2 linked regions of the Macaca mulatta genome follow. The protein of the gene in region 1 purifies or fractionates together with the protein of each later gene. This does not show direct contact. Links are inferred from orthologs where the notes say so. Each region holds a gene or a part of one and is shown in the gene's direction. Other genes may lie near its edges.

Evidence for each region. Proteins that work in one complex are often made in the same cells at the same time.
Region 2: the proteins of SLC7A11 (region 1) and CD44 purify together in Homo sapiens (affinity purification with western blotting; 3 studies listed by BioGRID and IntAct, with this or other methods). This does not show direct contact. The link is inferred for Macaca mulatta from reciprocal best matches to the Homo sapiens genes SLC7A11 and CD44.

The regions. Positions count from the first base shown.
Region 1 is NC_133410.1:147,080,825-147,085,243, reverse strand, and holds part of SLC7A11 (cystine/glutamate transporter), read left to right. Parts: intron 1-2,567; coding exon 2,568-2,667; intron 2,668-4,419. UniProt on the Homo sapiens protein: Heterodimer with SLC3A2, that functions as an antiporter by mediating the exchange of extracellular anionic L-cystine and intracellular L-glutamate across the cellular plasma membrane.
Region 2 is NC_133419.1:30,145,581-30,150,664, reverse strand, and holds the start of CD44 (CD44 antigen), read left to right. Parts: upstream 1-1,981; 5' UTR 1,982-2,114; coding exon 2,115-2,181; intron 2,182-5,084. UniProt on the Homo sapiens protein: Cell-surface receptor that plays a role in cell-cell interactions, cell adhesion and migration, helping them to sense and respond to changes in the tissue microenvironment.

The DNA.
Region 1 (4,419 bases):
ATATGTATATGAGGAAGGGTTTGGTTGCTCAAATGTTACTGTATTACAAACTCCTTGAGAGCAGAGGTCGTGATATATCTTGAGGTTTTTTTGGTGGCTACCATACAGAGATATTTTAATCAATAATTATGATATCAATGCTTAATGTGACAGGCTTATTCAGAGATCTCACTCAACAGAGAAATTCCCTGAGAATATTACCACATTTAATGTAAATGTTAACATTTAGAGACCATTGTTAGCAGGTATATTTGCTTGATTACTATAAAATTGTGATTTTCTTTCTCTCTCACATGATCACACATTTTTCACATTAATCTGAAACTCTAGTAAGAGACTTTGTTAATACAGATTGTGCTTTTATTTCTATTCTAATCATATCCTGAAAGTAGTTGTATGTAATGTATTCACTTATGAGGGTTTGTTGAACTTTCCTTTGAATATTGACTTTAATCTTCATGAGACCTCTGTTATATAGCCAAAATATTCCTGAATTCTAGAAACAAAATACCTCTCTTTTGTAATATTCTCAAAATGGCACTTTTGAAGATCTGTGCTTGTGACCCAGTCTTTATAGAATTTGGCTTTTCTTATTGATTATTTGGTGCTGTACTCTTAGAAATATTGTGCCTTTATGCCAAAGAGACCACAGATTATGATAAAAGAATATTCAACAGATGCTTTTCTCTTAATTCCACTACTTATATTTTTCTTCTGGAAGGACACAACGATGTCTTAGTAAAATGGGCATTTCTGAATTTATCGTATCATTTAAAAAGTGAGCTATGTTTGGGAATCATTTACTTTGACGGAAAAAATGTTTAGTATGTAACTCAACATTCTCCACTTTTGGTCTTCATACTCACACATATTATATTTATATATATGTTGTGGCTGGGCAATGAATGCAGGAAAAACTGAGATTTGACTTGGAAGAGAGAGTGCCTCATACACATCATCCATCTCCTGTCCCCCTTATGTTTATTTACATGAAGTTTTATTTTAAAACAAAGTCTCACTTTCTATTTGGATAATCTCATTTGATATTTTCTTTGGGTAGTAGAAACATTTTTTCCACTTAAGCTTGAATATTGACTGACTAAAGTGAATCTGAATTTCTGACTTTTAAAACTATTCAAAAGATATAAAAGAAAAAGTTCCATTGTGATTCACAAAATAGAGAAAAAAGTGATGAATAAAAGTGTTCAATTCACATGTTGCTGCAAAATTTATTGAAACCTATTTATTTTAGAATTCTTTATAATATTTTTTCAATATTTCTAGGAAAAAAACATGTCATTCTCTAGGACAGGGTCATAGGGTGAGTGCACTTTCTCTGTAAAGGAAAAGATAGTAAATATTTTCAATTTTTCAAGCTGTATGGTCTCAACTCTGCTATTATAGGCTGAAATCAGCCATAGGCAATACTTCATGAATGGGCAGTACTTCATGAATAGGCATTTTTAACTTATAGATAAAGAAAGCTTTATCTACAAGAAAGGCTTGTGGCTGGACGCGGTGACTCACGCCTCTAAACCTAGCACTTTGGGAGGCTGAGGCAGGCAGATCCGTAGGTCAGGAGTTCTAGACAAGCCTGACCAACATGGTGAAACCCCATCTCTACTAAAAATACAAAAATTAGTTGGGCATGGTGGCGCACGCCCATAATCCCAGCTACTCAGGAGGCTGAGGCTGGAGAATCGTTTGAACCCGAGAGGTGGAGGTTGCAGTGAGCCAAGATCGTGCCACTGCATTCCAGCCTGGGCCACAGAGTGAGACTCCATCCCCCCCGCCAAAAAAAAAAAAAAAAAGGCGGGGGGAAGGGGGGAAGGATGGCATTGGGAGTTATACCTGATGTAAATGACGAGTTGATGGGTACTGACGAGTTGATGGGTGCAGCACACCAACATGGCACATGTATACATATGTAACAAACCTGCACACTGTGAACATGTACCCTAGAACTTAAAGTATAATTAAAAAAGAAAAAGAAAAAAAGAAAAAAAAAAGGCTTGCAGTTTGGGTTGGCAGACATGGTCCAGGGTTTTCCAACTTCTGTTCTAGATGGTAGGCCTCTAATGGACAACGTGGGATAAACAGGAAGCAGAAAGGTAAATTGTGTAGGAAAGGAGTCCTGGGATTTATTTCCACCTCCTTATTAAGGGTAGAACCTTGGATACTTCTGCACATTTTTTTGCCAAGCAAAACATTATCTTCATTTTTAAGAATTCTATTGTATTCATAAAGATTATAATTTACAGAAAACCCTTTAGTCTTCTTTTATGGTCACAACAGAGGCATCCTCAAACAGAGGATTGTTTTTCAATGATATTTTCATCCTTGTTATACATTTATTAAAAGAGAAATGTGAAATAGTGTTAATGATCAATATACTTTTGGAACCCCTTCTGTAGAATGGGTACAGTATTGATAAAGATGGTAATCAACAGAGTGTAAGAAATCTAGACTTAAAATAGTATGGTTCTCCACACCCCCATGTTTCTGGTTAAGAATGAATAAGAACCAATTCTTTGAAAAATCCTAAAATCAGTCTATTCTAATTACAGGTCAAACACAGAACTTTAAAGACGCCTTTTCAGGAAGAGATTCAAGTATTACGCGGTTGCCACTGGCTTTTTATTATGGGATGTACGCATATGCTGGCTGGTAAGTCGATAGCTCCAGATCTGGTGGTTTATGTAGTTCATTAATCCCATTATGCACTCATATTAAGTGCCAACCAAGGTGCCAGGCAAATGTGAATAGGCATAATCCACATAATAGTAATAAGGTATTGTCCCCTCCACCAGGCCAATTACTTTGCACATGACAACTACAAACATAACAGGTTTCCAGTCAAGACTGCTAGATTTAGCCTGATGTCATAAAAAACAAACAAATGCTGGGTCTTAAGATCCAATAAAAATTACTTATAAGTATGTACCAGTAAGGACATAATAGTTCCGTAAGGTACTAGAGAATAATACTTCGCTTGTCAAAAGGCCTTTCAGCTAAAGCTCCAAGGGTATTTACAAATAGTGATTAATTGATTTCTTTTTTCCAGCTTCTCATGAGAGAAGTAACTCAGATGTAGAAATAAGTATGACATTCCCAGAAGGTAATGGTCATCTAAAGGCAGAGAAAGAGAAACCAAGATAATGCAGTCAACTCTGCTAGACAGTCTACATTTAAAAGGACCTTACATGTCCCTTAAAATTTCCCCAACATCTGAAAATTTAAAAAATAAAGATGATTAAAATCATGATGCCACAGATATATTTCCTTTGATGTATGTCCACCTGTGATACCTACCTTTCTAGTTAAGGCATTAAAACTTTGTACTTGTACCTTGTTTGTTCAGATACTTGAAAACCAGTAATCATGGATAAGAGTGGGACTTTTTCTTCAGTAAATTTTATTGACCTTGTAAGATTTAGTTTAGATGATGGTTGCAAGAAAACCTACACGGTATTATTTAATTATCAAAATCATTATAGTACGATTAAATTTCATTGTTTTGGGGTAAATCATGGCAATATTTATTTTTAAATTGTCTATAAATCTCATTGTTATACAGCTTTAGCTGTGAGAATGATGTAATATTAGGAAACTACACTAGCTCAAAAATTATATGAATGCATTTCCAACACAAATATAATTTCTTTTGTGTCTTTAGTTTTTAAGATCTTACCTTCTAGCCAATGCGCGGAACATAGATATATTTCAACATGAATGGAGTGTTTACCCTATTAATCTCATTGAATTATGAAAATATAGTATTAGAGGATAATTAGGGAGTATGGGAACTTAAAATCTTAACATGGCCTGTGAGGCAAAAATACGTTTGAAGATTGTTAGAAGATTATAGCTCTAAGGAGATCAGTGTAAAATATTTGTATATTCCCAGAATATTTTTATACCCATTATATGTAAGCATTAGTTTAGAATCACTCAATATTTTTGAAGTCTTTTTGCTTTTGTCCCAAGCACAATGTGGTGCTAGACATCAAAAGAACTGAGCGTGATCACAGGGTTAAAGCAGAATCAACTGTTCTATGGCTATTCAGCCTGGATCAGAGCTCTGTGCCCTGGGGCTGAAGCCAAGCTACTGGGAGGGTCACTGGGAGACACCAGAGCAAAGCAGGGAGGTAGAGAAAGCTTTCAGCTACAGCCAAGTGTTGGGAGCCGGGCAAGATGCAATCACGAGTGTGGAATGTGAAGATAGTCACAAGGGAGATTTGATTAATTCTGTTGAATGAAATTTCTTTTGCCTGCGAGTACCATAGATCTGTTCCCATGCAATCTTAAAATATTCTTTTGCCCTCCTTACTTTTCTAATAGCCAGAACTAAAAATTCAGGTCACTTGCTTTATGTAGAGCAAAATTTCTCCGCTTATGTAGGCTTTTGAGTGCCGATGA
Region 2 (5,084 bases), on another chromosome or scaffold:
CATTTTATACTTGAGAAAATTGAGCTAATTGCGTTAGTCAATGTCACACGACTAAGAAGCAGTCAAAATAGGGTTTGGATCTAGGTGTTCTGACTCCTGAATCCAGGCTGTTCATCATTACACAGTACCACCTGTGAATGACTTGTCCCTGTAGTTTCATCTGAAGAATTCCTCCTCCTCCTTTGAGGTCTGCCTCAAATATCACTTCCCCTGTGAAGACTTTCTGGTGTTCTCCAGGAGACAGTGTGACTCCCTTCTCTAGGAACGGTAGCACCCTGAACACACATATTTTGCAACATATTTCACCTTGCATGGTAAAGGCCTGCTTGTGAGTTAGTTTCCCTACCAGAGGGTGAAGGCCCTGGAGATAGCGCCAGGTCTCGTTTACCTTGATACCCCACAACACTCATTACATGTTTGACGAATGAATGCATAGGTGGATAGTTGGGTGCATTTCTCTCAACTTTTCAATTTCTTGAAATAAATAACAAAATCTTACCTTCCCTCAGAAGTTCTGGCATGGTTCCTTCAGTCTTGCCACAGCCACTGATAATGACTTTCATTTTCTGTGCAACTCACCAGGCAAGAAGTCCTTGCAGATTTACTTTTAGTAGTTCACATGAAAAATAAATACTGTGTTTGATTTCCAAACATTAAACCATAGTGTATTATAGGTAGATATAGAGTTATCATTCAAAGTATGATATTTCAATCTCAAAAGGCTTCCCCTGAAGAATATTACAATCTCTTCCTCTCTTTAAGATCTGCTGGATAGAAGAGGTGGGAGAAAATGAATTAATGTTTATACAGAAAGGAGGATAATGGGGGCAAAAAATAACAGATGAATGTATGGGTGGATGAGAGAATGGATAAAATGACAGGTGGATATGTTGATCATGGACAGATGGGAAATGAGTGGATATATCAATAAACAGATATGTGGGTGGATGGGTGGAGAAGAGGATGGTGGATGGTTGTGGGTTTATGAAGAGATGTGAAAAAGGAAGTGTGGAATGATGATTGAGAAGTTGTATGGGAAGATGAATAGAAGAATAGGTGTATGAATAAATTAAAAGATGTGTGGCTGGAAGAATTAATGAATGAATGGGATGATGGATGGACCTAAGTGGTTAGTGGATGGACAAGAAGATGCATGGATGCGAGAGTCCCGGAAAGACATAAGGAAAGATGGGTGGATAGATGGATGGGTGGATGGAAGGGTATTTAGGAAGATGAGTGAGCATGTGTGTGGAGAGAGGTGCCCACACCCACTGGCTTGAACACATGGGTTAGCCGAGCCAAATGCCAGCCCTATGACCGGCCATCAGTAGCTTTCCCTGAGCTGTTCTGCCAAGAAGCAAAAACTTATTCAAGCCATGTGGACTTCACTTGTTTTTGAGGGGGAAAAGAATGAGCTCTCCCTCTTTCCACCTAGAAGATTCACCAACTCCCCACCCCTCACTCCCCACTGTGGGCATGGAGGCACTGCGCCACCCAGGGCAAGACCTCGCCCTGTCTCCAGCTCCTCTCCCAGGATATCCAACTACCTGTGTAACCCAGAGATCTTTCTCCAGTCGGATTCAAAGAGAAATTTAGCGGGAAAAGAGAGGCCAAAGGCTGAACCCAACGGTGCAAGCTTTTATGATGCAGTCATCCTCTGTCCTGACGTCTCGGGGCCAGCGGGAGAAGAAAGCCAGTGCGTCCCGGGTCGCAGGGGCCGGTGGGGTTCGGAGGCACAAGCACCCCGCGACACTCCAGGTTCCCCGACCCACGTCCACGGAAGCCCCGATTATTTACAACCTCAGCAGAGCACGGGGCGGAGGCAGAGGGGCCCGCCCAGGAGGGCTGCTACTTCTTTAAACCTCTGCCGGCTGCTTAGTCACAGCCCCCCTCGCTTGGGTGTGTCCTTCGCTCGCTCCCTCCCTCCGTCTTAGGTCACTTTAAACCTCGAATAAAAACTGCAGCCAACTTCCGAGGCAGCCTCATTGCCCAGCGGACCCCAGCCTCTGCCAGGTTCGGTCCGCCATCCTCGTCCCGTCCTCCACCGGCCCCTGCCCCGCGCTCAGGGATCCTCCAGCCCCTTTCCCCCGCGCCCTCCGTTCTCTCTGGACACCATGGACAAGTTTCGGTGGCACGCAGCCTGGGGACTCTGCCTCTTGCAGCTGAGCCTGGCGCAGATCGGTGAGTGCCCGCCGCATCCTGGGCAGCAAGATGGGTGCGGGGTGCGCAGCGCGGACCCGGAGGTAGCCCCTCCGGCTGAGTCGGCGCTGGGGGACTGGAGTCAAGTGAGTTGCCTGCGAAGTGCTTTGGGCTCCGGAAAGCAGGGCTGGGATTGCGCTAAACCGTTGGAGAATGTGTCTGTGGAAGCACCGTTTGGTTGAAAGAAAAAGAGAAAGAGAAGAAAGTTTGTTGGGCAGGCTGCCGGCACGCAGTTTTGGGCGAGGTCGCTAGAGCTAGAGCACATGGCAGAAAGTAACCGTTCTCCTGGATGCGCTCAGTCAGTGTCTGGACTAACAGGCTCCTGTGCCCAAGGGCTCGTCAAGCCCCACCGGGCTGTGTCTAGGCAGGGCAGAGCTAGGCGGGGCAGGAACTGGGGCTAGAAAAGGGCGAATGGCGGTTACCAAGGTGGTCACAGAAGGGGTCACAATTGCAAGTGTGAGACTGGCTGGCAATGGGTTTTCCAGAAAGGGGTCCTGGGTTCTCCCAACTACCCACTGAGCATTGTTCCAAAGCTTACAGTCCGCACTGCCACTGCCACCTTAGCGCTGTGGAAGCCTGAACCAGCTCTGCGGTGAAGTCTTGGGTCTCCATGAGATTCCAGCCTGGGACAGGGAGCATGAATAGGAGAGGCAACCACTGCACCAGCTGCTTGGTCCTTGCTACCTCCTGCTTCTGCCAATCAGTGTGGGGGAAATCTCAACGGTAACGTGGCTCATATTCCCTGCCTGGCAGCCTCAGAGCAGAGAGAAGAGCCTTGATACCAGCGCGACATCAGGGACACTGGGGCTAGGACTCCAATATCTCATCCCAATAGGGTCAGTGCTATGAAGGGGAGGGGCTGCGTGTAAGGTATATTCTAGCACGGCTCAATTCCAAGCATTCTCTTTCTTTGTCTATATATGTACAGATAATTACACAGCCAATTCGCTTATCGCTGGCCAAAATTAATTTTTCTCTTAAGAAGTGCCAGCTGGGTCATTAAGACAGCTCAACCTGCATGCAGTAAATTCTACTCAGCAAATATTTATTAACCCAGTTCCACGGGGGTACTGAGAAAGTGAAACGCAGTCCCACCTGGTTACTTTAGATTGCGTACCCAGTATAACTTGTCTTGAATTACTTTCTGCTTTCTGTATCTTCCTACTTTCTGCAGTAGGAAGAAAGTGACCCTAGGTAGAGGCTAGGCAGGATGAGTTCTTTGTGCACATGCATCTCCCTTTCTGTGTGAGTAGGAGGTCATTACTAGGTGGGGATTTGGGGATCTAGGATTTATACTACTGAAGCTGAAATAGTAATAATAATGACAGCAATAACACAGCCGGTCATGGTGGCTCATGCCTCTAATTCCGGGACTTTGGGAGGCTGAGGCAGCAAATTTCCTGAGGTCAGGAGTTCGAGACCAGCCTTGGCCAACATGGTGAAACCCCATCTTACAAAAAATACAAAAATTAGCAGTGTGGTGGTACAAACCTGTAGTCCCAGCTCCTTGGGACGCTGAGGCAGGAGAATTGCTTGAACCCAGGAGGCTAAGGTTGCAGTGAGCCAGCCTGGGTGACAGAGCATGACTCTGTTAAAAAAAAAAAGCAATACAGCACTAGCTACCATGTACTGTATATTTTCACTGTGCCAGGCATTATGTTAAATCCTTTCCATGTGTTATCTCATTCTCCCCTCACAATGGCCTAGTAAGAAGCTTCCTGTTATCAGGCCTGTTTGACAGGAGGAAAACTGATGCTTAGAGAGGTTAAGTGACTTGCTGGCATTCACATAGCCAGGAGCAGTGCTGGATGGAAACCCAGCTGCACTGAGCTCCAAAGCCTAGGCTTATAATATGTTAGACTGTATAAGATGGACAAACTTGGAAAGGATTCAAGGAGGAAAGGATTTTGGTGGACTCTAGGCCTTAGGGAAAGTTCCAAAAGGGACTGGAGTTCAAATAAGCCCTTGAAAAGTGGAAACACTCAGGATGGGAGAGAAGAGTCAAGTTGGAGATCAGGGAGAGCCCTGGGCCTGGCCTCAGAGAAGAGGGCCCTGGTGGTTTCCCTATGGCCTCTAGGGAAGTTTATTTGTATGTTACCTACCAGTGCCATCTTCTGCTTTGTCTTTGGGCTTTCTGACTCCTGACTCCTTCCAACTTGTCTCCCTGATTCTTCTAAAGGGCCCCACCTCCAAATATTTGGCACGTCCTAACCCTTGAGGTTCTCCCGGAGACCGGCAGGCTCCCTCCTGCCCCGAGTTTCCACGGCCCCTTTGTGCAGCATCATTTAGAGGAAGCACAATGAAGTGCCAGTAGCAATAACTGCCCCGGCCCTCACTTTCATGTGCTTGTAAAGTTGTTTGGCAGGAACTGAGACTTGGAAAGGAGACATGACTTTGTCACAGGGCTTGGGGCTGGGCATGGGGTGGGTGGCGGGAGGGAGAAGGAGGAAGGGGGAAGGAAAGGAGCTCTTGTTGCCCCATTCTGGGGAGTGGTGGACTCTGGACAACCAAGAGGAAACTTTGGAAAGGAGCAAGGCTTTCGGGAAGAGAAGGGGATCCAGTCTTTGTATGGGAAAGCAAAAAGTGGAGAAATGGCCAAATGTAGTTAAGTGACATTGGACCCAGAAACTCTGAGTTGGGGAACAGATATCTTGAATTAGGGGTCCTGTGTAGGAGGAAGAAAGTGACCCTTGGCGGAGGCCAGCAGGGATGAGTCCTTCATTCACACGCATCTCCTTTTCTCTGTGGGCGAGGGGCTCTTTGCTTGGGAATTGCATGCCTGGTGTTGAGAAAGAGGTGAACGTCTGAGAGTCCTGGGGCTTGGGGTTGGCACATACCTTTCTGCTCTTTTCTCTCTAATTGAGCATTAGAGACTCCGCCCCTTG